4 linked regions of the Lepisosteus oculatus genome follow. The main gene of each other region encodes a partner of the protein of the gene in region 4 in a complex. Links are inferred from orthologs where the notes say so. Each region holds a gene or a part of one and is shown on either strand. Other genes may lie near its edges.

Region 1 (7,890 bases), on a different chromosome or scaffold from region 4:
TTGGAAAGTAGTACTCTGGACAAATGTAGCAAAGCAAGAATACGCTTAGATAGTTTGGAATAAGCTCCTCAGAGTACATTTTCTTAATGATACATTATTAAGGCAGACTACACAGTAGCATAACATTGTCTCAATGAAAGTACAAAATGCTCAAGATATTTATTGAGAGGAAAGGAAATAAAAAGCATGAAGCAAAGGTTTCCAAACAGCTTTCAGTAGCTAAAACGTTGATGTCTATGCTTAGCATTTTAGATTTTTTCATATTCTCAGCTATTTTTCCTTAATGTATAATTTTGTTCACATGAATTTCCAGTTACGACAGAAGCAATTTTATTAGATTGCATGCAATCTAATTCAGTAAACAATTACCAGTAAACATTAAATATCAATCCAAAATGGATTAATCGGCTCAATAGTCCTAAAACTCCAGTTCTTTTGTAATGTCAGGTTGTCTGTTGGTGTTATGCATATTTTGTATGTGAAGTCAAGGTGCTTTCCAATGACATTACAAGTTCTTATCTTCAAATAAATGAGAACATTAATAGTAGCAAAACCTCAAATTAAAATCACTTCTGCTGGTACCCAATACATTAAGCAGAACCAGAAGAACTACATGAACCAGAAGGACCACAGGGATTAACAAAATACTGTTTTCCTTGGACCTGGAAACAACAACAGTTGATTTGCTGGTTGCATTATCTAATTTGGTTATTAACTAACTGACACCCAAGGAATTGTAATTTGGCATAAAGTGCATAATGACCACATTTTTAATGTTACTTACGTAACATGAAAATGCCTGAATTATTTTTTCTGAATGAACCAATTGTTGCATAATGACATTTTCTTTTCACACAACTTGCAATATTTTTATTTTATAGTTTTTATCAATTGAACCTAACAGGACTGCAGAAATTTGAATCCGATTATAATTTCAGGGCAGATATGCAAAATGTATGCTTGCTATTTTCTCTACACACCCTGCACCTCAAACAAGTCATCAACACACATTAAACGTGTTTAGACTCTAAGACAAACATTTACTTGAGAAAGAGACATGAGCAGGCACTCGACAGAAGCAGACAGTAGATGGTGCCTCTGTTTTTTGAGGAAAAGGAAGACACTTTATATTTGAGAAGATACTTAAACACAAAATCAGCAGATCAAAGTTTCTGCTAGAATAATGGGGATATTATATATATAATGGGTTCATCTGGGGATATTATCACCCGGTAAAAAAACTATCTTACATTGTTTCTTTTATGTGTTGAAAAATAGTGGTTAGTAAAATCTTTAACGTTCTTAACGGTCTCATACCTTCCAACTGGTATTATTGATTCTTTCAAACTAATTGGGAATCACTTATTCATTTTTTGGTACTGAATGCACATTCTCACAAGGAAAGTTGAATGTTAAGGTGCAATCTGACAAATCTAAACAGAGAACTGTACACGTATGATGTAGCCTACACCAATCCGAATAACTAAACCACTAATTACACGTTTTCACTCTAATGTGTAGTGGGACATGTGGCACAAAAAATGTCAAGAAAACATATTTTGTAGACTATACCAATATTCAGTGAGATGGTCCAATCATTTAAAAAAAAGGTAAGAAGCAGTAATTAAAGAAAAAGGCAGCACAGGCAAACCAGAGTAGTCAGAGAGAAATAAAAAAAGAAGAGATTGATAAGGGAAACTTCTTTAAGCTTCACCATTTCTAACTGGGATGTCAGAAAACGCAAGAAGATGTTTCTCCAACTGTGAGGATTACATTCCTGTCACTTGGGTTCGGTACAGTCAGAGCGAAAACTGAAGATTTGATTTTGTGGCAAAAAGGGGGAAGATATTAATAGTTTATTTAAAGAATTAAAAAAAACTCACTTTGTAAATTTCTTCATAAGTTTCTTCGTCAATTTCTACCGTGGTTACTGTTTCTTCAACATCTCCCAGTATCATGTTTAAATGCTGATCATATGCCTGAAAGAAATCAATATAGAACATTTTCAATTCTATTTTAAATATGACATAACCTTAGTACTGAGTTCTTCAGAACAATTCCTAAGTCTTCTACATAGAGTTACCTTTGATTCTGCTAAGTGGTAAAAACACTAACTAATCTTAATTACAAAACATGAAAAGCTGCTGATTCTAGTAATCAAACAACTTAATAATTTATCTGTCTAAAGCAATGGTCAATTCTAAAGCATGGAATCAAATGTACTATCACAATGGAATTAAAGTCTTAGAAAACAAATCATTCACGTAATTGTCAATATAGCCACTAACATCTTTTAGATTGCACTATAACCGCTATTCCCCGTTTACTGGCCTTAAAACGGAGATGGTGTTACTCACGTGTAGCCTTCCTCTTAGCTCTCTGTCATTGCGCATTTTCACATAGATACGCTCATCAAGACTAAGCCTGATGAGATCCAAAGGCTCCTCAACAGTGTTGGCAGTCTGTTGCTGAAACAGGAAAACAAAAACTCGGTACAGTGCACTGTCCAGATAAACCTAAGGTTTAAATTGTGTAAACTGGAGCCTCTAACTAAAGCCATACAAATTACATTAGTATCTGTTTTTTTAATTTTAAAAGGATTCAGTAATCTAATATGACGTCTGTGTTGATTTACAAGAACATTGTATTTAGTCACTTCTGCATATAAAGATACAGAAAGCCAAAAGCTATATAATATGCATCCCATATCACCACTTATTATTTCAGAAAAAAACACCTAGCTAATTCAATTCATTTTTACCGCTCCTGCAATGTTTTGGCTATTATCCAGATTACCGACTCTCATCACCACATAGACGTGAATTCTGGTTTTGCGGAAAGCCAAAATCACATTACAAAACACTCTCTGATCACAAGCAAGACATATAAACAGGAATTTCAAAAATATATAGTAAAGTAAAAAAAAAAATCCCAACCTGGTCCACCTCATCCGCCATCTTTCAAATTTCCCAGAATTCCTTGTGAGCGTGCGTTTTATCGCGAGAACCTCTTATTGACATGTGTAGAGACACGATCAGTTGTTTTAATAAGTGTAGTGAAAGAGGCGAGTAAGATCGGGGCTAACGAAGCTGAAATAAAGACGAAAAAGCACTTAAACATTTTTGTTCCGTTTTTTAAATGATGCCAAAGACCAAGATGGTGGTGTTGTATTTCACCAGTTGGGATTATAATTGTTACGTTTTCCAGATGCTGATACAGTTCAAGGGATGTTTTCTTTTTGTATTTAAGGATTATATGGCATTGTTTGTAAGAATGTACACGTGGGGTGGTCTCCGTTTACTAAAAATGTAATTCAGTGTTACTAAATGTTACCTTCCTAAGATTTTCTCTCTGTTTAATAAATGGTGAAATATTCTCTTCTTTTCCCACCTTTACTGCAGTGCAATGATAGGTTTGCTAACACAGACTGGTCCCTTGTAACTAACATTGAACAAAAAGCAAGGAATAACTAACTTCACACAGGTACTCAAAGATAAGATAAATATTTTAGAAAAAAGTTTCAAACAGATACTAAATCTCTTTTTTTTTACTGGGAATTTACTGTATATCTAGTGTTTCACAGTTTTATTTTACAACAAAATATTCCCCTTTCAGCAGTAATTTCATCTTTATTAATTACCAGTATAACATAACTCTAGGTGTGCGATGCATTATTAACACACTTTTTAAATATTGTAATTTTGATTATTTCAAAGTATAAACTGTACATTGCCAGTCTTTTGAAAAGAATCTTATAAGAACTTCTCATTCAACACCTGGTAAAAACAGAAGCATTGCCAAGTTCATATTGTACATATTGTACATTATCAACTGGTAGTCTGCTGAATTTAAATACAAGGTAAATTAGCTCCGTTGACAGTGATCAGTACAAGCTGTAAATTTTGCTTCAGGGATTTATGAAAAAAACACAACCACTGAGATGTTTAGTGAAAAGCAGCTTGCACTATTTTGTGATTTAAACATATTTTTTAACTGGGAAGCACAATGTGGACCTTTAAAATTTTACAGGGGTGTCATGCATGTGTTAAAAAATAAACTCTTCTGAATTTACTACTGACCAAACAGACTTACATTTATTACTTGGAGAGTTGTAGAACTGTGGCATTTCTAATTGTCAGTTAAAGGTTGTGACTATATGGCCCATAAATATCCAGTGTTACTGTTTGTAGGAGTAGTGATGTCCACGCCAATGACCTTGCTAAATATGCTTTGGGCTTGCACAATCTAGTTTACCTATATTTCCCCCTTATTTCAGTCAGATATGTAGTGGAGTTGTTGGTGTGTTACTGCTATTACACATGACCAAGGTAAGGCAGTCTGATAGGACCACAGAAGAGCCATGGAGTGTCTATGTAAAGTATGTACTAAGCATCAAAATAAACTTTATTTTCTGAAAATAAACTATATGGACTTTAACTATGATGTGTCTGTTCAATAAAATGTCAGTACGCATGCTACAAAAAAGTAATTTCCCTCTGTCCATTTGTTACAGTTATAATTGGTTTCTTTTGGCAGTCAATATACATAATAGACATAGTTGCCTTTATGATATACACATAAACACAATTTATCTACAACACCATGATATATAATTGCATGACATTATCAAGGAATGAAACGGCATAGTAGCCTATATACAATAAATATTCTCATATGACTGTCACTCCAATCAGATACAACTATGGTAGGCCAGGTTCAGTACTACACTGTACCAAAAGATAATGAGTTTGCAGAATCCAGAAGGAAGTGGAAAGTCGAAGGCAGATATTGTATAAAATCATCTAGGGAAGGCCATCATCTAGCAATGAAAGAAGTGGTCTCATCTGTGGACTTCCAGCAATGTTGGCCTAAGGGACAAATAAACTTAGATAGAAGGTGGCATTTGTTTGATATAACAAAGAAGGAAAATAAACCCAAATACTGTATGCAACTCATTCACAAATAACAATTTCAGTCTATACCACTTATGTTCCTTGTATGAAGGCTGGCAAGATTAGTCCACACAAGACTGCCGACTCCTCCCGTCAGACAACTTTTTAGTGAAACGAAAAAGAAAAAAAATGACAATGAAGACAACACATCAGGTTGCCTCTTAACGGGTTAATACAGTAATGGGACATAACGGGTTAAGTTTTACTTTGAAATAGCAGATGACAGCGTGCTGAGCATTTTGCAGCAGCTATAGACGGTAGCGCAGTGAGGTCGTTCGGTTTTGTCGTTCAATATCATACGCATATACTGTATATCAGGCCTAATTTAATTAGGGGCTTCAGTTGTTTATTTGTTTTTTTTAAAGACTCTCAGTTCAGAAATTATCATGTGCTCTTCGGCTATTGTTCTTTCGGTGATGGTCGGTGTCATCTGTTATCTCCCGATTCCAGCGTTTTCTAGCCTTTCTCCAAATTACAGACCCATCATTGGTAAGGTGACATCACTCAGGCTACTATTTTGCTAAACGTTTTTTTTTTGAGTGTTTTAAAAATTCTCAAAGGTTATTTTTGTAAGGGAGCCAACGATTGTCCACACCTTTTATTCATTTAAATGCGCAGGTGTATACAGTAATTGGAGCTCATCTATAATTGTAGAAAATGTATGTATTTTACCGCCAGTGTAATTTCAAGTCGTTATGTAATACCATGCGTGAAGTATTTGTCTGATAAAAGGTTGGGATGTTAAGATTTTATATTTTACACTTGCATGTATTTTTGTCTTATCATAGAATTTCGGATTTATATATCAGATACGCGTGGGAAGATTTGTTCTGGTATTTGGAAACATTTTTAATTATTGTGACATGTTGAAAATGGCACGTTATTTTCGGCAAACTGAAGAAGGGATTCTTAGTGAAACGTTCAAATAAAAAATAGCTGTTAGAATTAAACGAAAAAGTGTTAAATCCCAGGGTAGACTCTACGACGTTGTTTTGAACATTATATCAGAGAAATATGCATTTTCCAACATAAAGAAGTTTCTTTATTTTCGATCACCAGAGACATTCCTGTGCTCAGGGAGATTTCAATAGGTCCAAAGTGACTGAGCTAATAAACAATTTAATTGAAGCTGAGATTTTTACATTGTAGAGAAGTTTGTCTTATTCTGCTTTATTGGATAGAAGTTGCTTGAATTACCACGTTACCTACTGTACCTTACGCTGGAGAATCCAATATCAGAACTTTCAAGAATATGCAATAGTCATAAACCATGTTCCCTTCTACTTGTTTATAATTATAGTTTTGATTATATGATTTTCTCATATATTTTTAGAACTGCTGAGTGCCTCTCTTATTTGGTATAAATTAATAATAGGATGAATACAGGTTCTTGGAGGGTTTCTGGATTCCTAGACAAAGGTGCTTGGAAAGGGTTCAGCTGTCAGCAGAATTCAGGAGTGCAATTGAAAATTCAGTTACCTGAACTGAGATGGACTGCCTACAGATAGCAAATTTTGAAACCTTTTAGATGAGTTAGAAATGGACATCAACACTATGATACATAGTAAGAACTGAAATTATGGAGCTTTCTTTACAGAAGCTTCCACATATAAGTATTAATATGAATATACTAACAGCTTCCTACTCAAACCTGTACTTTACATTTTATGTACAGTATATATAGTCTACATTCATGGCATTGTGAGGTACAGTACTGTTCAATCACCAATTCATGATAAAAATACATAGCTACATGTATTACAGAAACATATTACCGTACTTAATATTTATTCCCGATGACGTTGCAATGCTAAAGGCTTTTCATGTAATGTTTATGACATATTGTTCTGTCCTGGGGAGAAGTAGAGCTACATGATCAAAATTCTAGTGACAACACAGGCATCCGAGCCTTTCAGACAATCTGGCAACACGGATACTTCTTACTCCTTCAATTGTTTTGAGTCAGCTTTTCAGACGTTTTTTTTTTCTTCTACAGGGATCGTAGCCCAAGAAAATCTTCCCAGTGACCCTCACGCACAGGGTTCATCTTACATTGCTGCTTCATATGTGAAATATCTGGAGGCCGCTGGAGCCAGGGTTGTGCCACTCAGGTAAGATCTTTCCACTCAGGAGTGTAGAGCAGACAGGAAAGAAAAAAAAAAGCACCAGTTGCTCTGTTTCCTGGGAAATTGCAGGCGTATTCATGCAACATTAACTGTACTAAATCAACATAACCTTTGTTCGTTCTTGTCTTGTTTTCTGAAACTGTATAGTTAAGTAATTACAGGCTCTGTTAAATACCTGCGTGGTAGTTGTACAGTACATTCTGATTCCATCAGAGTAGTTTAATGACTACAGACAATGTCCGTGTTGGACTGTTTTATTTCAGCGGCCCAAAACAACTTAGTTTGGTGGAGAACCTCTTTTTCTGTCAAGAACAAACTAATTCTGAATGAATAAATGTCTGTGGGTACCATCCATTCTCACAATAGTATAGTGTATATCACAATAAGTGTAAATGCCTAAAATCCACTTTCATAATGCTTTTTGTGCCATTCCAAATTTATGGCTACATAAAGGATAAGGACACAAACTTAGATGTCACCAAATTAAAAGGTTAAAACATGAAATTAAATCATGAGTATTAAAGATTTCCATGATTCCTAACAATTACAATTTGTTCTTGAGAGAAGGAAACAGAGAAGCATTTGAACATTTGAATATTAACATAGGTAAGGTTTTTAAGGCAGAACTGAGCATGACTAGGAAACCATGTTAAAATGTATGCTGAGATTTGATTTGGGACTAAAGATGATGACATTCAGAACAGATGTAAGATGTGCAAAAGTAAGAAAAGACAAAGCTTGTTTAAATCTTGTAATGCTTTTACATTGTCATTGTCATTTCACAGAATAAACCGCACAAAGGAAGAATACAC
Region 2 (7,712 bases), on a different chromosome or scaffold from region 4:
TGATCACCTCAGCGACCAGAGGCTCCTCCTTCGTGCCCAGCTCTGAGCCCACCAGGATCGGGGGGGGGAGAGAGAGAGGGCTCTCAGAGAAGCCAGGTGGACTTGGACACTTGTGCGTTTAGGAAAGGGCCAATGGGAGGCGTTTCGGGCGTCGGAGCAGTGCGGGGCGTGAAACTGCCCAGCTATGCCACTGGATGGAGGCTCCGGGATCCTTCAGGAAACACCTGGGATCCGGGGACCCAGGTCAGCTCCTGCGCTATGGTTCTGGATTTCTAAATGGCTGTGGGTTCGAATCCCAGCAGAGATGCTCTTGGCGTCATCTGCTGTTCACCCACCCATTTCCTAACGGGGAGCCAGAGTCTATCCCAGCAAGCAGTGGGCACAGGGCGGGATACACCGCAGAAGGCACACACAGACACACAAGGGGCAATTTTCCCCAGAAGACAATTAACTGCCTCAAACTGCAGGTTGGCAAGACCCAGGAGCGTCAGCTGCCAGCACAGCACAGTGGGACAGTTTCTTCCAAACTAGCCTATAAGACTCCAGGACTGGGACTGGAGACCCCTGATTCAGGGTGACCTGTAAGACACACTGGACTGGGGCTCCCCAGGACTGGGACTGGAGACCCCTGATTCAGGGTGACCTGTAAGACACGCTGGACTGGGGCTCCCCAGGACCAGGGCTGGAGACCCCTGATTCAGGGTGACCTGTAAGACACGCTGGACTGGGGCTCCCCAGGACCAGGGCTGGAGACCCCTGATTCAGGGTGACCTGTAAGACACGCTGGATTGGGGCTCCCCAGGACCAGGGCTGGAGACCCCTGATTCAGGGTGACCTGTAAGACACGCTGGATTGGGGCTCCCCAGGACCAGAGCCAGAGACCCCTGATTCAGGGTGACCTGTAAGACACGCTGGATTGGGGATCCCCAGGACTGGGACTGGAGACCCGTGATTCAGGGTGACCTACAGGACTAAATGTAGCCCCAAGCCCACACACAACACTTACCCTTCTTATTCTCATTCAGCTCCAGAGGCTTCAGACCCAACTTGGCCCTCAGCTTACTAGAGGGGGAAAAGAACAACCAGACTGGAGTGAATGGTTTTCCTGACACAATTACAGACTGTCACGATGGAAGTGTGTACAGAGGTACTCCTGCTGGCAAACCCTGTGATCCGATCCATTTCCCCGGATAACATCACCCCCCCCTCCCCATCACTGTTAAACCGCCCTTGCTCACTTACTTTGTTTCCTCGATGCTGAGAGAGGCATCCCCGGAGGCAGACTTTGGACCAGCCGCTGCACGGAGACAGTTCAGAGCGCGTTAACATCGCCAGAAATGACACAGATGAGCAAGAACAACAACAATAAATAACAGTCCTTACTATTCGATAGCTCTTTACAGAGCTCTGAGTGGAGGCTCCAGGACAGGTCATGGGGATCCCCTCCACCCCCACCTGGGTGATGCACCAGTCCGCTCCCCACACCCCAGCTCTCAGTGGGGAGGAGAGCAGAGTGATGGAGCCAGTAAAGAGAGGGGGATTATTAGGAGGCCATGATGGGTACAGGCCAGGGGGGAATTTGGCCAGGACACTGGGGTAACACCCCTACTCTTCTCGAGAGACACCCTGGGATTTTTAATGACCACAGAGAGTCAGGACCTCGGTTTTACATCTCATCCGGAGGACGGCGACTATTTTACAGTGCAGTGTCCTTATCACTATACTGGGGCATTAGGACCCACACAGACCGCAGGGTGAGCAACCCCTGCTGGCCCCACTAACACCTCTTCCAGCAGCAGCCTCAGCTCTCCCAGGAGTCTCCCCTCCAGGTACTGGCCAGGCTCACCCTGCTGGGCTCCAGTGGGGCTGCCACTGCTAACTGACTGGATTGCTGGCTGGCTGGCACAGCATTACAACACACAGTGTTCGTGATTCCCATTGCACAGCAGTCTGATCCACTCCAGGTTTCACCAGCTGAGTGAGGCTCTTGTGCTGATGAAGCCGTGGCCAGGGAGGGGAGATGAGCCGCTTTCTCGCGTTTTCTGGAGTGTTACAAAACCAGACTCTCACGGAGCACAGCGACGGGTCCGAACCGCTACCAACCGTGACCATTACTGCGGTTTTCACCGCACCTTCGAGGATCGAGCTGCGTCTGCAAGCGCGGTGCTGCAGAGGAACAGGTAAAGGGGTTATTCCCTGCTGGGAGGACAAGAAAAGAGACGCAAGGTATTGGGTTGTAGGGACTTGACGCGCCTGAAAAAGGCTCCACGGCCGAAACCCTGCGTCTCTTTTCTCCGCGTCTCGGAATAAACCTCTTCCTGTCCCCCTGCATATTTACATCCTGTCGCTGTTATTCTGTGAAGCGCTTTGAGAACCCACTTCTAAAGGCGCTACGTACGTTTATTATTATTACACATACACGCACAGCTATTACTTTGAGAAGGAACTTTTTTTTTTAAAAAAAAAGGGAGAGAGCTGCAGCTTTTTTCTCGTCCGAAGTCGTTAACCGACGCACCTTCCTCGTACCCGGCGTCCGTCTTCTCCTTCTTCACCCGCGGCTCGGCGCCGCTCTTGTCGGCCTTGCCCCGGCCCTCCCTCTCGGAGCCCCGGCCCCGCTCCCGCTCCCGGGACCGGGAGCGCTTCCTCTTCTCCCGGTCCTTGGCGCCATCCCGCTCCCGCTCCCGGTCCTTGTCCTTCTCCTTGTGCTTGTGCTTCCTGTGCTCGCGGTGCCGGTCCTCCGTGTCCCGGTCCCGGTCCTTCTCCTTGTGTTTCTTGGAGGAGCGCATCCCGTCAGCGAGCGCAGGAGGGTAAAAATACAAACAGGGAAAAAGCCACAGGCGAGTAAACTATCGAAACAAAGCCCACTCGCCAACGGCGTAGACAATCCCTGGCGCTAGAGAGTTCTCTTTTTTTTAACAACCCCCAAAAATGTCTTTTCCACGATCGAAAACACCGACAGCAACGCAACAACCGTCTCGACGCTCGAACGCAGTAATAACCTTTCACCCCTCCCCTTCCCCCCCACGCGCACCCACACACGAATATATTTCCGGGTCAAGGAGACAAGACGGGCGGCTTAAATGTGCGAGCGCCCCCTGCCGGATTCCGCTACAGCACCGCAAGAGCGCAGCAGTTTACAACAAACTGTTTTTGTTCTTGCAACAACAACAACGCATATAATACAGACAAGAGTACACCAATAACATCGCCAGGGGTACATGCAGTAAGACAACTGCACTTTACAAAAAAGGATTAACCAAGGTGAATCAAGATGAAGCCCGCCCTGCTTTCGTGTTCTCACATAAATAATCAGAAATAATCTGTGGATACGGTTTATTTCACACTGCTCAACCGCGGGTCTCTTCCCAGACCATTTCATTTTCTGTGCATAATAATAATAATAATAATTAATAATAATTGCTTACACTTATATAGCGCTTTTCTGGACCCCTCAACCTCCACCAATGTGCAGCATCCACCTGCATCCATAATAACGTGCAAATACAATGATTCAGTCACTGCCAAAGGATATTTTCATTTTATTTTCAATGAGATTAAAAATGAACGTGACTATCTATTTCTTTCAAGGTAACGTCAATATCAGAAGCCTTTCTTTATATCACTTTGCAGATCAATCCATAATTTTCTAACCACAGGACATAAAATTCTTATAGACAAGAGTTGTAAATAGTATTCGAAATGATACCCGAGGGAAAAGAGTGTTATCTTTTAGCTCAAACATATTACCTGTTAACAGGTAAAACAGAAGTAAAAAGGGTAAAAGGTGCTTAAATTCTAGTTTTTAAAGCGCTGCATATTTTACTACATAGAGGTGTCATGCTATACTTCATAATTTATAAGCGGCACAACTCATATTTAAAATAAATCTGTGTTTATATTTAAAACTGAAATGAGGAATTTAATTCACGTTCCCAACCTTTGTTCCATAAAGAAGACAGTTCATATGACAATTCTATATTCAAATGTTAGAAGTGAAATCTGGATTCAGCTGAGTACCAGTATAAAATTCAGGATCACCGACTAGCTACTACACTATATTTGATGCCGGAAACACAAACACAATAAAGTGCAAATTGAACAACATATTTTTAGAAAAATCATTTCATTAAATAGTGAGTTTATTGTAATTTGTCAGCAACGATCTTATTGGTATTATGAAGCAACAGAAGCCCTTATCTCAATGGCTACCAGTTACTGACCTGAGGTCAGCTGGCACATTGTGGCAGCTGGCTTGTGGTGCTTTTACGTGAAAAAATAAAATGACAGCACAAAATGACTATGTCGTCCTGTGTTTCCTGTGTGTACTGTTTCCCAGAACATGCTATAAATAAGGTCTCTATAAATTGAGGGGCATGTGAATTTTAACGACCTCCATTTCAATCATTTGAATAACCTTTTTTGCAATACTTTCGCAGTACTGCTTTTAAAATCTACTTGGATAACACCGGTGGGGCAGGCGTTGACAAGTCTCCATGAAGACAGATATGTATTGAAGCATCGTGTTTATATGTGCAGGCGATAGCTCTTCTGACGAAATTTCACTGGTGACGCGTGATTTTCTTTTTCCTCGGCGGCCGGAAGAGGTTCGGGTTTGGCGTTTTTCCACCCCCGTGACCCAGCTGTGCTACTAGGGGGGATACTGACATTTCTTTCTCTTCGGGTACGTTATTTTTCTCATTTCTAACGGTTTTTTTTAGAATTGCAGGCTAGAACCTCCACATTTCCGGGGACCAAAATTGTTATGGACGGAAATAAGAAATTCGTTCGGGAGTCAAAAGCGCACGTTGACATTTCAGGCATGTTTTTTTTTTTATTTTTCGTGTGTAAAAACCGGGCGCGGTCCTGAATATCAGTGCGTGATAAATCCAGGTGATAGGCTCGAGATGCTCAGGAGACACCTGCAGGTGTGCTTGTTACCGGCCAATCACAGGCCGAGAGGTACTGAGCCCTCCTCCCGCTCCCTGCCCATTGGCTGGACGAGCCGACGGACGCTCTCTATTGGCTGGCGGTGGGGGGCGGGCCTCGCGTGGAAGCGCTGAGGGTGGGAAGGGCTAGGCGTGCGCGAGAGCAGTGGAGCGAGATCGTCTGTGGCGTCGAGTTAATTGGAAGCGCGAATTGTAATTAAAATTATTGTAAAATATTGACGGAGAGGAAGACGAGGCCGACTCGACGGACGGACGAAAAACAGGTAAAGAAACGCGTTTCTTCAAATAAACAAACCAGCTCCCACGGGCGGGACGATAGTTTTAAAAAAAACGATTTAATTGAGAGACGCCAAGCGGCGTTCGGTGACCAGGCCTCCCGCCGCGCCAGCGGGCCTGGTTTGAGTCTGGACCCGCGGTGAAGCCGAGCTCCCCGGGCGGAGGGCTGGAGGCTCAGCGGCCCGGCCGGGTTCTGCTGCGGCCGGGCCGCCGAGGGAGCGGGCCCCGGCTCGGCTGCTCCTGAGCCCACGGCCCCCGGGCCCGACCTTGACCCCGGCCTCCCCTGGACCCGGCGCGTCCCGTCCGAGAGGTGCAGGCAGGGAGCTGCGTCAGCAGGCGAGGCTGCAAAGGTACAGGAAAGTTTATTTTCTGCTGAAAAGAGAAGGAATCCGTAGGAATCCGAATTTTACGGGTTTTAACTCGGGACTAAAACCCAGTTTAGTTGGGCGTTGCGTTAGTTTGCACCGTTTTCTTTTTTCGACCTCTTTTAGCTCGGTTTCTGTTTGGTATTGTTATTCTTGTGCGCAGTCCGAACTGGTAGAGAGGGGGAGAGTTTATTTGCCGTTTGTCCGTGTTTTGGTTGGGGTTCGTGTGTTTGAGGCGTTGTCTCTGGCCGTGCGCGGTGCAGTAGACGAGGGGGGGCCCTGCCGGGCCTGGTTTAATTGCAGCTCCTCCAGCGCCATGGGCAGGGGGCCAGTTCCCAGTTCCACTGGAGTCGGTCTGATGGGGCTCTTTTTGTGGGGCGGCGTTATTTCAGGACTCAGGGCGGCTTCTATTGATCATTAAACCTTGAAGCAACAGGTTACTCATCACCAATGTTTTCAAGAAATCTCTCTATGAAACGGACTCGGTTCATCCTGCAGAATCCTTCCCAGCCATGGCCCCAACAGCACAGTCCAGTAAAGCAAACTGAGACAAAACAGTGCTCAATTGCCCAGCTCCTGCTTCCTCCTCTCATGGGTGCAACAAAAGGAGCATACACACTAATCTAATACACACTCACTTCAAGCTCAAGAAGGCTTGTATTGATCATTAACCTTTAAAGCAGCAGGTTGCTCTGGCAGAAGGGTCGTTTGGGTAATTCAGGGCAGGAGAATGAGAGGTGTTGAGGGTCAGTCTGCAGTCTGGGAATCTGTAGATTTTATTTTACTTTAATTTTTTGTTTTGTTTAATGTAAATATCATTACTTTTATTTGCTAAGGCAACGCTGATTGTACCCATCGGTCATGCTAATAAAGCACCTTGAATTGAATTGATCACACTGTATTGAAATAAGGTGATAAAGCCGGCAGGAAAGAGCACAATGCCTTTGGAGTCTGGGAGCAGGGCTCAGCCCAGCGCATTGACGTTGTTTGAATGGGGCGATAACGGCCAGCAGGAGAGAGCAGGGTGTCTTGCCGGGTGGGGGTGGGGCTCGGCCCCAGGTGAGCTGCACAGACACTGACTGAAATCCTTGTGCGCAGTCCCAACTAGTTGAGAGTTTATTTGCCGTCTGTGCGTGTTGGTTGGGGTTCGTACGTGCGGTGTCGTTTCGGTCTGCGGGGCCTGGTTTACGTACCGAGACCGACGGATTTCAAAACGGCCTTTTCCCTCGGCCCGTAAGACTGCTAGACGGCCACCAGCAGTTACCCAAAGACCGCTGCTAAACAGCCAGGCCTCTTGAAACTGATGAGGTGCAGCCACGTCTTACCTGGTGCTTTGCCGTCAGAGGATATAAATGACGGGGCTCCTAGCCCTGCCGTATCTCCTTGTGTTATTTGTTGCGTAAATCCTGTAAATTGTCAATTGTTGTATTCTGCTCTGACCTTAATTTTGTGGGGCGGTGTCACTTCAAGGCTCAAGAAGGCTTGTATTGATCATTAACCCTTAAAGCAACAGGTTGCTCTGGCAGAGGGGTCGTTTGGGTAATTCAGGGCAGGCGAGGGTCGAGGTGTCGGGGGTCAGTCTGCAGTCTGGGAGATCACAGTGTATTGAAATGAGGTGATAAGGCTGGCAAGAAAGAGCACAATGCCTTTGCAGTCTGGGAGCGGGGCTCAGCCCGTTTACCTGGCGCTAATTCAGTTAGCGGGGTGGTGTTCCTGGTGCTGCTTGCTCAGCTTGCAGGCGGAGTGTTGAGGCTGGACGGTTTTGTTTTTGCTGCGGTGACGAGGGCCCCAGCAGTGCCCCGGGGAAGGGTCTCTGACCCCGGGGAGCCGGGCCGTGCAGTTTGCAGACTGTCCACCGGGGGCGGCGGGAGCCGCACTCTCACTCCCCTGCAGCAGAGGCTGCTTTTGTGAAACACGGGGCCGTTCTGGGGAGAAGCTGCGAGTGGCGCTGACAAAGCGGTAGCTCGCGCGGGCCGTCGGGGGCCGGGGTCTGGGTTAGCGGGACACCGAGCGTGCTGCGCACCGAGCTGGGAGCTGGCTGCGGCTCTTCCTCTGCCGAGTCCGAGGGAGCTCCTCCCCGGCTCACAGGAGAGGGTGACGTCACGGCAGTCGGGGGAGGGGGGAG
Region 3 (7,135 bases), on a different chromosome or scaffold from region 4:
CATCTTAGAGCATTAAAATAAACTTAAACGGCTAAAAAACATCAAACCAAGCACACTCCGGTGTATCGATTAAAAAAAGAGAATGTGTTTTTAAAGTCTGTACAATGTACATCTTAAAGTTTTCAAATCAGAAAATCAATTAACCCCACAGGCTGTTGTCAACATATCCCAAGTACAGACAACACAAGTGAAATCTCTCCGAATAACTGTTCACCACACTGAAAATAACAAAAACAAAAGTAAGTGCATTCAGAAGAGTGGCGTTTCTCTCTGCACTTATGAACCAAATAAAAATAAGCATGTAAACTAGTTGGTTTATTTACATTTATCTGCGACACCCTCCTTTCCCCATCTCCATCCATCGCCATGCAGGCTCCAATTTCATTTGTAAATTAAAAAAAGGAAAACTGAAGATTGCCATAGGAGTCACCGAAGAGCAACATTTGAAACATTATTCAGCAGTCACAGAAAAGCATGATTCTGTCATCTGATCACACATTCCCCTCTTCACCGTGTCTTCTAGTGCACAAAGCCTTAACACAAGGTTTCAGAGAAGCTCAGACCTGGGCTTCCAAATCTCAATCTTGGTGACCCGTCTCCAATAGTTTCTTCTCCGGTTTTCTACTTAAACCCTTAAATGGACTACATTTGCTAATTTTAAGTTGCCAAGATGTTCCAATTAGAAGTTAAGAAAATGTAATTAGCATTAGATCTCCAGTGTCATAATTATGCACAAATGCTCTATAATCCATCTAATAACTAGCCTAGATAAGGGATCCATTAAGAAGCAGCAAGCCCAAATTGATGAAATGTCAGAAGACACTGGACACACCAGCACTAGGATTGGGAATCCCTGGTACAGAGAGATGACATTTTATCAGAGGGAGATAGACGAGATCAGGAAAAGACCGGGGGTAACCACCACCTGCAGGGTGTTTAAGAGACTGCATGGAAACTTGCAAGCTTTAACTACTTCTCCTGAGGCCACAACAATGATGTCGCTTTGGGGGTACAGAAAGGTTTGTGCACAGGTATTGGAGAGGAAAGGGGAGCAGGGTACCCCTCTAGCCGTCCTGCTGCTGGATGAAAGGATTGGGAATGGCCTCCATGCCGTCTTGGGGGCAAATGAGGACCACAGATGTTCCCCGGCACACCACCAATCCCAGCTGCCTGGTGTCCTCCGTCAGCTTGTACTGATCATCGGGGTCTGCAGACGACACGGAACAAAGGAGGGGTAAGGGCAGACTGAGCCTCGCCAGCACAAGTCATGCACAGTGTCTGCCTGGGCATAAGCCATCGTACCCAGGCAGTTGACCAGATGGAACTCCCTCTGTAGGGATTTATAGCACAGCATTCTGCTGCCTCTGAGACTGCCAGCCTGTAGGTCTGTACAAAACCCATATGCCTCAAAACTTGAATAACAACAACAAATAACAAAATAACAAAAATAATAATCCCTTACACTTATATAGCGATTTTCTGGACACTCCAATCAAAGCACTTTACAGGTAATCGGGATCCCCTCCACCACCCCCAGTGTGCAGCCCCACCTGGATAATGCAATGGCAGCCAGAGTGCGCCAGTCCGCTCCCCACACACCAGCTCTCAGTGGGGAGGAGAACAGAGTGATGAAGCCAGTTCAGAGATGGGGCTTATTAGGAGGCTGTGACTGGTAAAGACCAAAGCTAAGAGCTGCAGGGGGTTTTGGACCTTAATTTAAGAACTATGCCTTCAGGCACTGGCACCTACCTCTCATGTACTCTATAGTGCCGTCCAATACCAGGTTCAAGAGCGGATCGAACCCTTTCAGGATGCCACTGGCTGCCAGAGAGAAAAGCAAAAGGCTCCGTGAGTCGTTCTGCAGTCGATCCACTCGACAAAGGAGAGCCGAGAGGAGACGACCAGCAGGTCCACCTGCTCATTCACTACCTAGAAGAGCACTGCAGAGTTTGGGAGGAACTCTTGCATGAAGAAGAAAGGCCCACACAAACACACAGTTTCCTATAACATACCTTCTCGTCCACCCTGGAACTTCACACGGATGGTCTTGTCGATGTACTTTGACAAATCAAATATGCTCTCCTTCTTCTTCTTCTCTTTATCCTGAAACCATTAACGTTTTTAACAGGTGGGGTTAAAAAGGGACAGTTCAGGGCTACTTTGGGGAGACAATACACACATTTCGGACCAACCACTGCTCATCGTGTATTTTAAACGGAACAGTACAAGTCTTTTTAACTGTATCGTTCTTCGTTATTCCCGGAACAGCGGCCCACGAAGTAATAACGGCTAATCAAGACATTCACCGTGCTTTATTTACGATATGGACAATTTTTCTCTAAATAAAATCATTATTTTGGAGGCCTGGTTACTGCTCTCTGACTAATAAACGAATTCAACTCATGCAACGCCAAACACAGGTTTTCCTGCAGGTGAAAACATGCTCTGTATACCTCCAGAAAAATATGTACAGGCGCAGGGATCTAGCTCGCCAGCGTTTCAGTTAACTTTGCTAAACAGTCGGACATCCAAGGGCTTAAGACTCGGAAAGCTAGGAATAAAATCGTTTTTTCTGTTGTCTACAATAACTTTACATTAAAAAAACGTTTGAAAAGAAACATTTTGTTAGTACCAGTCAAACGAAGCCGGTAAAATTAAAATGGTTCTTTTACACAATGGAATTCTAATGTTTAAAATGCCTAACTTTCTATACCCCTCACCATTAAAAGAGACAAACAAAAACTAGATTTAATAATTTACAGTTTCAGTGGAAATTAGAGACTATACCGAACAAATAACCATATATTACACAAATCATACACGAAAACCATTCACCGATACTCACCGCCATCTTTCAATTGGGTGAGCTCCTCCCTTCGACCTTTAAACTTTGACCTCTTTGATTGGGGGAAACTCCATGTTTCAGGAACTATTCTTTACATAATGTTTCCTAACAAACGTACACCTGTACACGTAAACACTAAAATAGTAACGTAAGAAATATCCCTTTAACTAAATAAGCTTCAGTTTTTGAAACAAGGCATGGAATTCACTACCATAGAGTCCTTGCGGTAAATTGTGGACTCGTCCCGAGGAAGTGGTACGTTTGATTGACAGGGATAGTAGCAAATTACGTTTTTTATGCGGGAGCTTCTTTTTGATTGATGGAACTATTGACCAATAGTGTTGCGGACCGAGAGTAAGCATAACAGAAATGACCCAATGAAGTCGCGCTGCGGTATGGCGAGGGCGGGAGCTTCCAAAACAGCTGATGGTGGACTGGGCTTATGACGGGGATAAACCATAATAACAGCCAGACATCATGAGGGACCTGAGTGCTCTGATTTTCGGAGCTATATTGGTAAAACAGGTGAGATACTGAATATCTCCTATTCGCTGTAGTACATATTGCATTAAGCAGGGCTTTCGAGCGTTAACGATTTTAAGTAAATAGCTGAAATCCGACCTAAGGGGGCGATATTCTGGTTGGTAGCTATTATAATTAATGGGCCCATGTAATGAGTCTTCTGATGGATAAGCGAGTGTAAAAAAGCGATGCTTCACTTCTTATAATTATTATTTTTACATTCAGCTCCTCAATGTATATACTTCCTTTGTACAGAACCTAGAATTCCTCGATGTAATACGTTTTTGGGTTCCTTCTCCTATAAACTAACATCTACAACAGTTACCTCTGCTGCTGTTGATAGATGTGGATCAGCTGGACCTGAGCTGAGCACTGTTCCGGGGGAAAAAAAGAAGATTTTTCTTTACTGCGCGTTAGATCCAGATGAAGACGAGGGTAAACATGTTAAAACCCCCTACAAGAACGTTTAATTCACAAAACAGCGGCCAATATGCAGTCTGCAGTTCAATTCCAGTGGTTACCGGCTCCTTTTTTTTCCTTGTTAGAAAGAAACCGTCCGCATTTTGATTGTAACCTTGTGGTTAACCGAACTGAAAATGGCTGTTAAAAAAAACAAAATTAACATCAATATGTAGCGAACATGCTATTAGCGTTGTCCTAGAAAAGGAACCAAGAAAAGTGACCATTTTAATGTTTATAAAGAAATCGCGATGGGAGGCGCACTGACCTGTGAATTCATTCAAAGCGCCGAAACCTGGAAATTTAAAACGATGGACTATTTAGTTTTTCAGCTATCCCATGAGACGTTGGTATTAGAGACTTTATTGCTGGGCGAATTATTTTTTTTAAGTACATGAGTTGGTCGTCTGAGACTAAACATCGCCAGAGTATCGCCCAGAACACTGATTCAATAGGATACAGTACCCAGAACAGTAATCCTCATTACCGAAGAGCTGTGGGACAGACCAAAAAAAAATAGACAAAATCCTCAAAATCACTGACAGAGTCAAAGTAACGTCCTTCTTCAGAAGAGGATACAAAGAGAAACTACAGGACAGTGCATTTAAAACTGTGACCAGGGGGACTCCTCTTTACACAAAGGCTTGTGGGGAGGCAAGCTGGCACCCTTGTTGCTGAAGAGGTACCCTGAATTAGCAACACCTGGGAGAGGGTCTTTGAATAAGTTAGCCATTAACAACCAAATTCAGATGAACCGAATGGCGTCCACTCACTTGTCATACGGGGTAATAACTGTGAGCAGTAGTGTGAGTGTTTTGTTGTTGCTTAACATGAATACTCTTTTCCATGTAGGTAATGGGAAAAGGCATCTATCCACACTGTTTCAGTAGGGATCCCCGCAGTCACCCACAGCCCCAGGATGACTGAGACCCATCAATTTTCTAACTGCTTTATCCAGTACAGGGACGCTGGGGAGCTGGAACCTATCCCAGCAAGCAACAGGCACCAGGCAGGATACACCCTGCACAGGATGCTAGTCTATGACAGGGCAGACAGACACACACACACACTCACACACACTCACAACGGGGCCAGATTTCCCAGAAGACAGTTAACCCACCATGTCAGTGGACTGTAAGAAGAAACTGGAGCACCTGGAGGAAACCCACGCAAACGTGGGAAGAGCATGCAAACTCCACACAGACGGCACCCGAGATCTGGCATTGAACCCCAGCAATAATAACCACTGCATCACTCTACCTTCCTAAAACGGGGCTGCTGTGCTTAGTTCTCTTGGTGCCTTCTGAACAGTTACTGCCATGGCACCTAGGGAGGGGAGAGTCAAGTAAAAGGCCCAGAAGTATTCAAATATGCATTGGGAAACGCACCTGATTACGAGTGTTGTTGCCACAGGTGCTGGGGGAGTATGGCATGGCGCACGTCAGTGAGAGAGGGAAGAGTAAAGGGAAGGACTACTGCATCCTGTTCAACTCCCAGTGGGCACACCTACCTCAGGATCTCAACAAGGCGGTGAGTAGAGTCCAGGAATTCTGCAGCCGCCCAGCCTGCGGCCCCCCTGTCGCGACCCTGCTCTCCGTGCAGACCGTATTGCAGCTGCTCCTCGAAGGGGCGGGGCGCAGAGGTGAGGTTTTCCTCACGGGCACCAGGGGTTGACCCCCAGGGCCACACGTGTTGAATCAGCCCAGTCAGACCGCCTCTGCATGGAAACAAACCACAACAAACGTCGGGGAATGTGCAAGCTCCACTCGGACAGAATGGCACACACTTCCTTCAGTGTTAAGCTCGTTTGCATGCCTGTGATTGTTTCAAGTGGTTCAATGCTGGTAAACACATATCGTCTTACAACTAATAGGTAGGCAGACACTTTGCTGCAAATAAATGACCCCCGCCTCTGGGAAGCTTTATAGTTTCTTTGTCTTTGGGCAACATGGGTGGAATTACACAGGCACCTTTGAACTGCGTGCAGGGTGTGCAAGCAGGCAGTGGTTCGAACTCACCCTTGTGAAATGCCGATCAGTGCTCTGATGGAGTCCGAGCTGACTGACCTGAGAAAGGTGCACAGCCCTGCTAGCAAGGGAGTTCTGTCTCTCATGGATTCTGTGCAATTTCTAGCCCCGGCCAGACTGCAGTGATGCTAACGAGTCCCAGCCAAATCCTTTTTTTTGGGAATTATTAATTTTAATGAAAAGGTAAAATGGCACAAGAGCCGTGTCTCAGGTTCAGACCCTGTCAGGGGCTGCTTTTGCCTGGTGAAAAGGTACCAGACTGTGCAGCAGCAGTATCCCTGAAGGCTTTGGGGTAGAGACTGCTCTCCCAGTAACATGAGGATCCCATCTGTCGTGTGAGCGTGAGAGCATGTCTGTGGACGCTACCTGTCTCGGCGGCTCACACTGCCCTGCCCCAGTGCAGGGACTGTGTCTACAGCCTAAAAAAACAGGAACTCTAGTTTAATAGCACTGCTGGGCCCAGGTGTCTCTGAACTGTTTGTTTTGCCCTGTTTAAACAAGTGCTACAATTCCAGCTTCCAGGGCAGAATGCTAAGAGAACAAAAAGTGTTTTTTCAGTGGGGCCACACCCATCCAGCTGAGTGCAAGACTTTACTGAGCTCCGTAAAGGATCACCTCATGTGTGAGCGTAAGACAAGCATTTTCAAAAGAAAAAAATCCTTGCTGTTGTGTGTCTCTTGAAGTTGGTCTTCTGGGCAAATATAAAGGAGTCTTCTTTCCCACTTTCTTCTGTCGCTCTCAAACTCTTCAGTCCCGGCTCCAGATCCATGACCTGACTGCTTCTGTGCTGTGCTCCCCGTCAGAGGTGCCCGCAGGTGGGTTCCCCAACCGCATTCCCATGGTGCTTAGGGGGAACTGCACTTTCTATGAGAAGGTCAGGCTGGCTCAGATCAACGGGGCCAAGGGGCTGCTCATCGTCAGCAAAGACAGGCTGGTGAGTGGCCAGCTGGGCACTGATTATCCCTCTCTTCCTGTCCATCCACCCGTTTTCCAACCGCTTTGTCCAATACAGGGTCACAGGGGAGCTGGAGCCTATCCTGACAAACAGTTGGCACAAAGCAGGATACACCCCAGACAAGATTCCAGTCCATCACAGGGCACAAACAGACACACACACTCACACCAGGGCTAATTTTCTGAGGATCTACTAGTAGTTCTTTTGGACTTTGGAAGGAAATCAAAGCACACTCTTATTAGCTGGTAAATAATTCATTTGCATTTATATAGCACCTCAAGTCTAAAAGCATTTTTCATATATGAGGGGACCCATTTCATCCACCAC
Region 4 (7,720 bases):
TTGCTTGTATGCTGAGGCACTTATCTGCAGATTTCTGACAATGCTCCCATAAAGAAATGCTCAGTTTTTAAAGAATATAAATGTGGGCTTCAAAAACATATTGTATGACTATTCATGGTCTGCTTGCTTTTCAGTTGGCAAAATTGAGGCTTCAGGTAGACTGAATATTTTTTTTAATATCTTTAAATAAAACTGAATAAAACTTTAAAGCAAAACTACTTCTGGACATAAAGAGATTTTCAACTTCAAAATGAAACATAAGAAAATAGTTCTTTCCTTGAATAATGCTGCTTACAAATACTGGCAACATATTCAAAGAATACCGGCTACCTAAAGCACAAAATTGTTTCTGTTAAACACATCCTAACACAGAATTACACATATCAACGGAAGCGTCTTAGCATTTGTAGAAACCATTGCAGAGTTCCTTCTCTAGATGGCGAAGGAAATGTACGTTACATCATGCTGTTATGGACCATCACATGGCATAAAAGGCATGTATTTTTCAACAGAGAATAAAAAGGAACTGTCAACAAAGACAGTGACTTTCTAGGATCCTTTTTATCACTGGGGGGTTAATTTGAAAGAGCTCAAAAGGAAGAACTGCCAATGAGAAGCACATAAAAAAAGTCCCATTAAATTAAATGACTTCCTAAATGTTTCTCTTCACGTTGGCTGAAAGATCTCCACCATCGCACTCAAGATAAGCAGCAGTATCCCATATCTGTATGTACTCACATTTTAACAGAATTACATTCTTCTCCTTTAGAACAACAAAGCTCTGAACATTAGTAGCTTATCTGGATGATGTGCTGTTTCTTTCCGTTTGTTGTTCCTGTGTGCTTCATTCACATCACACCCTAACAAATTTATTTTCTCACTTGTTACTTTTTATTGTCCATTTTAATCTAGAATTCCAGGCCGAATAAAATAAAGATACTGAATTGACCAAAACAAAATAACGCAATAATGACACAAGGAATGCATGAAACAACAATGAGTTTGTGGTCAGGCTTATCCATTGACGGCAAACCTGCTGCAATTGGAGAAACTGTTAGGTGTAATGGATTAGTCACCTTATGATGACAGTTTAGCAGCACAGCAAGTTATAGCAAAAGAACTCTATGTCCCGAGATACAATACTGAGGAACTATCGCTGTACCAGCATTCCACACATCCTGTCTGCCAGTATTGATATTTTTTAAGGGAAGTGGGTCTTGGCACAAAGGCAGCTAAACCCGATCATCCTCCTGTTCCAGATCTCTTGTTGAAGTTCTGAGATGCTTTATTTTTATTGCACTCTCACCATTAAGAGATCTCCGTTTCCTAGAACTCGAATTCCTAGAATGTAACTGTTCTGATCGGAGGACAGTCAACAGTTTACTCACAGGATCTGTGAGCCGCCATCCTTTTTTGACAGGTATAGTCTGGGGAAGGGTTCCATTTGCATGCCTGACATGCTGAAGACGGAGGCTCGGGGGTGCTGTGAACTGGCTCAGGTAGGGATGGTGCCTCCCCCCAAACTCCCCCCTCCCTCCCCTTCTCCTTCCCTTAGATGCTGCAGTGGATATTCCAGGCCCCGGCCCTCCCCCCGCCGCTGGCCCGGCTCAGCGCTTGTCCCGGCGCTTGTCCATCTCCTCCTGCACGCGTGCCCTCAGCGCCGCCCGCATGGCCGCATCCAGCGCGTTCGCGGCCGCCACCTTCTCCACCACCCTGTCGGGCTCGTCCTCCTGCAGGAGCAGACACACGGGCACGTCCGTCACCCACCCGGCCAACAGAGATCCAAAGTCACAGCCGACACCCGAAGAGGGCTCCGCAGCCGAAACGTCGTGTTTCTTTTCAGCAGGGAATACTTGTTCCTTTGCAGCCTATGCGTGCTGACCTGCTTGAACGACTTGAAAGTCACATGACTGTTCTAAGGGTGCTGTTAGCCTAGCAAGGGAAATCTCTGATGGCTTCTAAAAAACAAAAAGTGTGCATTTGCATCAATCAAGCCAACCTAGGAGGTGAAAAAGTCCCAAAGGAAACATTTAATAGATAAGATAAGATCACTTTATTGGCCAGATACAATTTCTTGCTTTAGGAATTTGTCTTGTCGTATACCCCAACTTGCTCTCCATGAGACACACAGACAGGGAGAGAAGCTTGGGGTTATAGCGCAGGGTCAGCCATTTATACGGCGCCCCTGGAGCAGTTGGGGTAAAGGGCCTTGCTCAGGGGCCCAACAGAGTAGGATTCCTCTGCCGGCTGCGGGATACGAACTGGCAACCTTCCAGCCACAGGCGCAGATCCTGAGCCACAGAGCCACTGCACCGCCCAAATTTAATGTTTGGCACTGAAGAACTGCTGGACCTGCTTCACATCCCTCATCATCATTATAAAATCCCCATCTATAAAATTGGCTTCATTACTCTGCTCTCCTCCCCACTAATAGCTGATGCGTGGTGAGCGTTCTGGCGCACTATGGCTGCCGTCACATCATCCAGGTGGATGCTGCACATTGGTGGTGGTGGAGGGGAGTCCCCATTACCTGTAAAGCGCTTTGAGTGGAGTGTCCAGAAAAGCGCTATATAAGTGTAAGCAATTATTATTATTATTATTATTATTATTATTATCATTAATAAAACCTCCTTAATACTGAACTCCCAGCTCCAACCCATTATTCAGCTTATGTGTGGGTACAGCAGAAGCTGTGAATGACACCCTTCTGGGTTACCAGCTTGTATGAAGTCACAGCAGGCAGACTGTCCAATAGCCCGCATGCCTACAATAAGGGATACTGATGAGATGAGACCCGTGACTTGGCTTCACCTTGTAGACGACGAAGGAAGTGATCTGGCCGCTGTCAGCTTCGTATTCCAGGCAGAACAGCTCCGTGCCCTGGTGCTCCGGCTCCGTACTGGAGCTGCTGTCGTTCGATTCCTCGTTCTCCGGCCCCGCATTCTGCTCCGAGGCACCTGGGGGGAACAGCACAGAAGATTCGGCTCGACGCTGCCCCCCACCCAAACACTTCAGATCAGAGCAGGGGGACAAGGAGAAATGCTTCTGGCTTTAACTTTACAGCCCCTCTGAACCTGCTAATAACTGGCACAACGTGTTTTTTTTCTCTGCTCATAACCTAGAAGAAAGAATATCTATTTCAAAAAGTCCGTGCTTGATTTTTGAAGAGGCCATTCAGATTTTCAGTTCATTCCCTTAAGTGTGGGCTTGATGGATGGGGCTCTCTTGCTGTTCTTAAAAGCGAAGTCTGAGAGCACGTTTGTGCAAGGTCTTACTCCTGCGTCGAGGGTGATACACCTGGATGTCTGGGCGTCGCGGGCGGCTGGGCGTGTTGCTGTGTCTGCGTTTCTGCTTCTCCTTCGCCTGCTTCACCTCCTTGTCATAATCGTCTCTGGGGGAGAGACAGAAACACCATGTCACCTTTGCAGGGGCAGCAACCGGCTTTTACCCATTCTGAATGAACCCATTATTACAGAAACCTTTTCATTTCACTTCTGAAAGCAGACTCCATCTGCAGATAAAGAAATAAACAGGGCTGGTTAGTTCATAGTTTTTCACTTTCGTGTACCATTTCATTTTTGGATGCCAACAAAAATATAGCATGCAACAAGGTTCACATTCCAATTATACCAACAATTTCCTTTTTTTTCCTGTAGAGTTTTTAAAGAATAACTTAAATGTGATTTGGAAAATGGTAGATATAAGAAATGCATGGAGGGTAATTATTACAGTAGTACTTGACTTTATTATTTAGCAGACAACTTACAGTGAAATTACTTTCTGGACCGCAGAGACTTAAAAAAGCAAAACAAGCCCTTTTGCTCAATAATTTGAGTGAATTAAGAGCAGTTTATCGATTTTTTTCGTCTTACTCAGGGAGAAACAATTTAGCGGAGCGAGATGCGCATGTGCAAAACGGCTTTAGCAGAAGGCGTAACCTCTTAAGGAATAATTATTATGCTTAATGATACACATGTTATCAGTTTAACTAAAAGGCCAACAAAATTTCGATCCCTTCTACAGTACGTATGTGGCTTTTAAACTATGTTCGTCAAACCTGGCTATCTGGTTCCTGCGAATGTGGTGTAAAAAACCGTGGTTCATGTCTAAACGGCCTCCAGGCTTGCATTTGGTATGCGGGTCGAACCCCGAGCCCACCGATGCTTCTTCTTCTCGCAGCACCTCCATTTTATTTGTACTAGCAAACAGTGTAAAAAATAGCAACCGATAAAAAAATTACGCCAACTTTAGCTGGAGTCCTGGCACTCGTACATCACTAGACGTTCTCATAAAACTGAATGAAAAGACCAGGGCCACTAGCCTGTTGACCAACACAAATATTATCCGGAGTTGCGCAATTGTTAGAGCCTTCTCCCTTCTAAAATTTGAACTCTTAATTAAATCATGAAATCACTCTGTTTCACATTGATCATTTCTGTACTTTATACCCGTACATATGTTTAGAGTTTTATCGCCTTTGGACGTGTAAGGTATTTCAGCATGTTGTACCAGATTATTTTTCGGTTGCGTTATTTTCCTCTTTCCCTCTTGTAGTTAAATAATCCCGCGATACGTATAGTACAAAATTCAGCTTTTTAAATAATAGTTAACAGATGCCAGAGGTGAAATAAAGACAATGTTGACAGAACTGGAGCTTTTCACTTCGAAATGAATCAATGTTTCACAATGTTTACGAGCACCCCAGAGTTCAGCGCGGAACTCTGGGTTAGGCTTTAGTTGGCCTTCATGTTGAGTCGTGGTGTGCGAGAGAGTGGTCATTGAATGGTTTCAAACAACCGGGAGTTTTATCAATACATTATTATTTTCAAAAACGTTATCACAGTTATTCATTCATCAGTGTAGTTTTGTGAAGGAACATGGTGTCATTGAAGCGGGAGAGGAATCCGGAGCTGGAAGATGGGGAGGATGATGGTAAGCATATTGAATAAACTACAAGAGGTATACGGAAAGCTGTTGAACGACTGTAGATTTTTCATATGCACTTCTGTATCTAAAACAGAAGAGCTTTTCATACTTTGCAGTTTCTATCAAATAAAGTACTCGGAAGCGTAGGCTGGAAAATCGGCTGTGGAAATGAGGTGAACGATGTTGTAAAGTTTTACAAAATCCCACTTTCCCGACGTTTCGCTGAGGGCTAAAGCCATGGTGCAGTCTGTTTGCAGAGAAACCGACGTTTTGAATTCATTGTCAACTGATAACACTTTTCTAGACCGTGTCTGTTTTGTGTTGCTTTTGAGCAATTTGCTTATGTATGAGAAATTTGGACCACAATCAGACGACTTTATTCTGCTTGTTGGTACTATATTTTAATACCGGTAAACATGAGTGTAGCTGACAACACTGTTTTCACTGTGTTTCAACCAGTCCCAGCCAAAGCCGGACGCTCACAGGATGTTGCTGAAGATCACAGGAGTCGACATTGCCCGTATTTGGACACTATCAACAGGTGAGTTAAGAGAAATGCTGACCGAACTATTCATTGGTTTGTGTTATTAATTTGTTTTCAGAGGCATGTATGGAGGAAATGGTCTGCAATTTTTGTCGAGACTCACTTTTCCTAAACCTTGGGAGGTCGCTGAATGGTTTGAGCAACTTTTTTCTCCACTGAAGACCGTTCAGACTGTGCGAATCTGTAAATGGGTATAGTTCAGAACTCGTAAATGCAGAAAAGGTTAAAATTCCAGATGGGGCACTGCAGTTGAGCAATACACTTCACCCGAGTTTCTCTAGTAAAATACCCAGCTGGGTAAATGGCTGCAGAGACATGTACCTTTGGATAAAACTCCAACCAGATAAATGTAGGGTTTCTTTACACATTGGATCATAGTGATGATCATTAGAGCTGAATACACCACAATACAGAAAAGCTATTGCTGATCTGAAATCAGTCCAGAGAAGTACATAAAATGGGTATCTTACACTGTTTGTTAAAAGAACTGAACTTTTTCTAGTCTTGAACGGGGAAGACTACGAGGAATCTGCTTCAAGTGTTTAAAATCCTCAGAGCCGTTCTGAAGAATCAAGAGACAAATTCCTAATGCAAGAAATTGTATATGGCTAATAAAGTGATCTTAAAGTCTAACATAAAACAGAGGATACAAGTGGAAATTACAGGGAAGTGCAAATAAAATTGAGAGGTACGGGTCTTACCATGTTCGTCTGGGTCACTTCTGATTAGACGTATGTCCAGCTTTCTGATGTGAGCTACTCTGCTATTTGAGTTGTTGAGCATTCAACCCCATAGCCTCTGCAGTTTGTTCCAGATAGAAGCAGATATTAAGGACACATTTGTCATTCCACATTTTAATGTTGGGGCTTTTTATTGTCTTTTGGAAGATGCCGCGGGAGGCAAGCAAAGGAAAGGAGCAGGCACAGTGCTTCCTAAGAGAAAGATAAAGAATGTGGCAGAAATGCTGTTGTAAAGCTTGGTGGAGAATGACAACATACTCTTTCTTTATTTTGTCCTCCTAGGAGTGTGTTGGACTTCGATTTTGAAAAGCTGTGCTCCATTTCCCTCTCTCACATTAACGTCTACGCCTGCCTCATTTGTGGGAAATATTTCCAAGGTGAGTGCAGAGGATCTTGTGTGCCTTTCACATCTCCTCTGTGGACTTGTGATCCTCACAGGATATGCCAGGCTTTGCCTCCTGTGTCTGCCTGGTTGGGCTCTGGTTCACTGCAATCTTCCTCAGGGTGAAGTACTTACTGAAAATGGAAGGATACAGTATAATAACACCATTTTCAAGTCAGTGCCATAAATGACCTCTTAGAACCAATCCTTCTGACTCACGTCTAGGTGATTTTTGCCCGTTTGGGTGGAGATTTTACTATACGTTTAAGCAACAGTTAGATCTGACCGAATCATTCCCGGTTTCACTGGTAAGAGAGAGTGGTCCGCCTTGATTTTAGGAAGTATTCAAGCTTTGCAGTGACTTAGCGAACTTACCCCTGAGCATATGGTGGACACCTCTGTGCGTGTGAAGTGTTCTTGCTGGACGATAATCCTGTGCTTTGGCTGCGCTGTGCAGGTCGTGGACTGAAGTCCCATGCCTACACCCACAGCGTGCAGTTCACCCATCATGTCTTCCTCAACCTGCACACCCTCAAGTTCTACTGCCTGCCGGACAACTATGAGATCATCGACTCGTCCCTGGAGGATATCACGGTGAGGAGTGGGAACTCGCAGCCCCTCTTTTACTTTGGATTTACTGTTCGATTATAAGTTGTCTTCACTTTTGAGAATATAATGTGGTGGTAGATCAGTCAAAAAAAATCAAATAGTATTTTTTTACTGTATACGTGATTATTGTGTAATTTTGTAACCTGCAATGGAATGGTGTCCTGTCCAGGGTGTATCCCCCCCTTGTGCTCTTTGCTTGCTGGGATAGGCTCCCCTTCGACCCTGTATTGGATGAAGTGGTTAGAAAATGGATACATGTGACAATATGCTCAATTGGTGACAATGTTGATCATGTTTAGGAATGTGCAGGAAGGCAGATGTAGGCAGGATGTATCCTTGCTGCCTTCTTTATTCATTCCTGTTTGCCTGGCCAGCAGTGAAGAGTAGTTGTTAAGCTTCTAAACTTGTAAAATGTCTACAGATGTCTAGAATAAAAACTATATGATTAATGATGGCTGACTAGCAATTAACATAATCTCCTCTTCAGAGCAGAAAATGTATTAACATGAAAAAGAATCT

The links.
Region 1: usp39 (region 4) and lsm3 share a complex: the UniProt entries of both Homo sapiens proteins name them as parts of the U4/U6-U5 tri-snRNP complex. The link is inferred for Lepisosteus oculatus from reciprocal best matches to the Homo sapiens genes USP39 and LSM3.
Region 2: usp39 (region 4) and sart1 share a complex: the UniProt entries of both Homo sapiens proteins name them as parts of the U4/U6-U5 tri-snRNP complex. The link is inferred for Lepisosteus oculatus from reciprocal best matches to the Homo sapiens genes USP39 and SART1.
Region 3: usp39 (region 4) and lsm7 share a complex: the UniProt entries of both Homo sapiens proteins name them as parts of the U4/U6-U5 tri-snRNP complex. The link is inferred for Lepisosteus oculatus from reciprocal best matches to the Homo sapiens genes USP39 and LSM7.

What each region holds. Positions count from the first base shown.
Region 1 is NC_090699.1:59,414,141-59,422,030, forward strand, and holds the start of lsm3 (U6 snRNA-associated Sm-like protein LSm3), read right to left. Parts: upstream 3,015-7,890; 5' UTR 2,958-3,014; coding exon 2,937-2,957; intron 2,469-2,936; coding exon 2,358-2,468; intron 1,980-2,357; coding exon 1,884-1,979; intron 1-1,883. Other genes in the region: gamma-glutamyl hydrolase, read left to right, coding at 5,339-5,441, 6,949-7,063, 7,864-7,890. UniProt on the Homo sapiens protein: Plays a role in pre-mRNA splicing as component of the U4/U6-U5 tri-snRNP complex that is involved in spliceosome assembly, and as component of the precatalytic spliceosome (spliceosome B complex).
Region 2 is NC_090713.1:22,042,465-22,050,176, forward strand, and holds the start of sart1 (U4/U6.U5 tri-snRNP-associated protein 1), read right to left. Parts: upstream 3,013-7,712; 5' UTR 2,787-3,012; coding exon 2,516-2,786; intron 1,298-2,515; coding exon 1,243-1,297; intron 1,063-1,242; coding exon 1,007-1,062; intron 43-1,006; coding exon 1-42. Other genes in the region: collagen, type I, alpha 1b-like, read right to left, coding at 4,946-5,072, 5,315-5,564, 7,541-7,668. UniProt on the Homo sapiens protein: Plays a role in mRNA splicing as a component of the U4/U6-U5 tri-snRNP, one of the building blocks of the spliceosome. May also bind to DNA.
Region 3 is NC_090724.1:6,313,172-6,320,306, reverse strand, and holds lsm7 (U6 snRNA-associated Sm-like protein LSm7), read right to left. Parts: upstream 3,005-7,135; 5' UTR 2,852-3,004; coding exon 2,846-2,851; intron 2,104-2,845; coding exon 2,013-2,103; intron 1,822-2,012; coding exon 1,750-1,821; intron 1,208-1,749; coding exon 1,065-1,207; 3' UTR 382-1,064; downstream 1-381. Other genes in the region: sppl2 (signal peptide peptidase-like 2), read left to right, coding at 3,323-3,370, 5,240-5,356, 6,605-6,787. UniProt on the Homo sapiens protein: Plays a role in pre-mRNA splicing as component of the U4/U6-U5 tri-snRNP complex that is involved in spliceosome assembly, and as component of the precatalytic spliceosome (spliceosome B complex).
Region 4 is NC_090697.1:70,093,447-70,101,166, reverse strand, and holds the start of usp39 (ubiquitin carboxyl-terminal hydrolase 39), read left to right. Parts: upstream 1-4,712; 5' UTR 4,713-4,877; coding exon 4,878-4,932; intron 4,933-5,385; coding exon 5,386-5,467; intron 5,468-6,492; coding exon 6,493-6,587; intron 6,588-7,049; coding exon 7,050-7,186; intron 7,187-7,720. Other genes in the region: c2h2orf68 (UPF0561 protein C2orf68 homolog), read right to left, coding at 1,608-1,730, 2,812-2,957, 3,276-3,391, 4,058-4,188.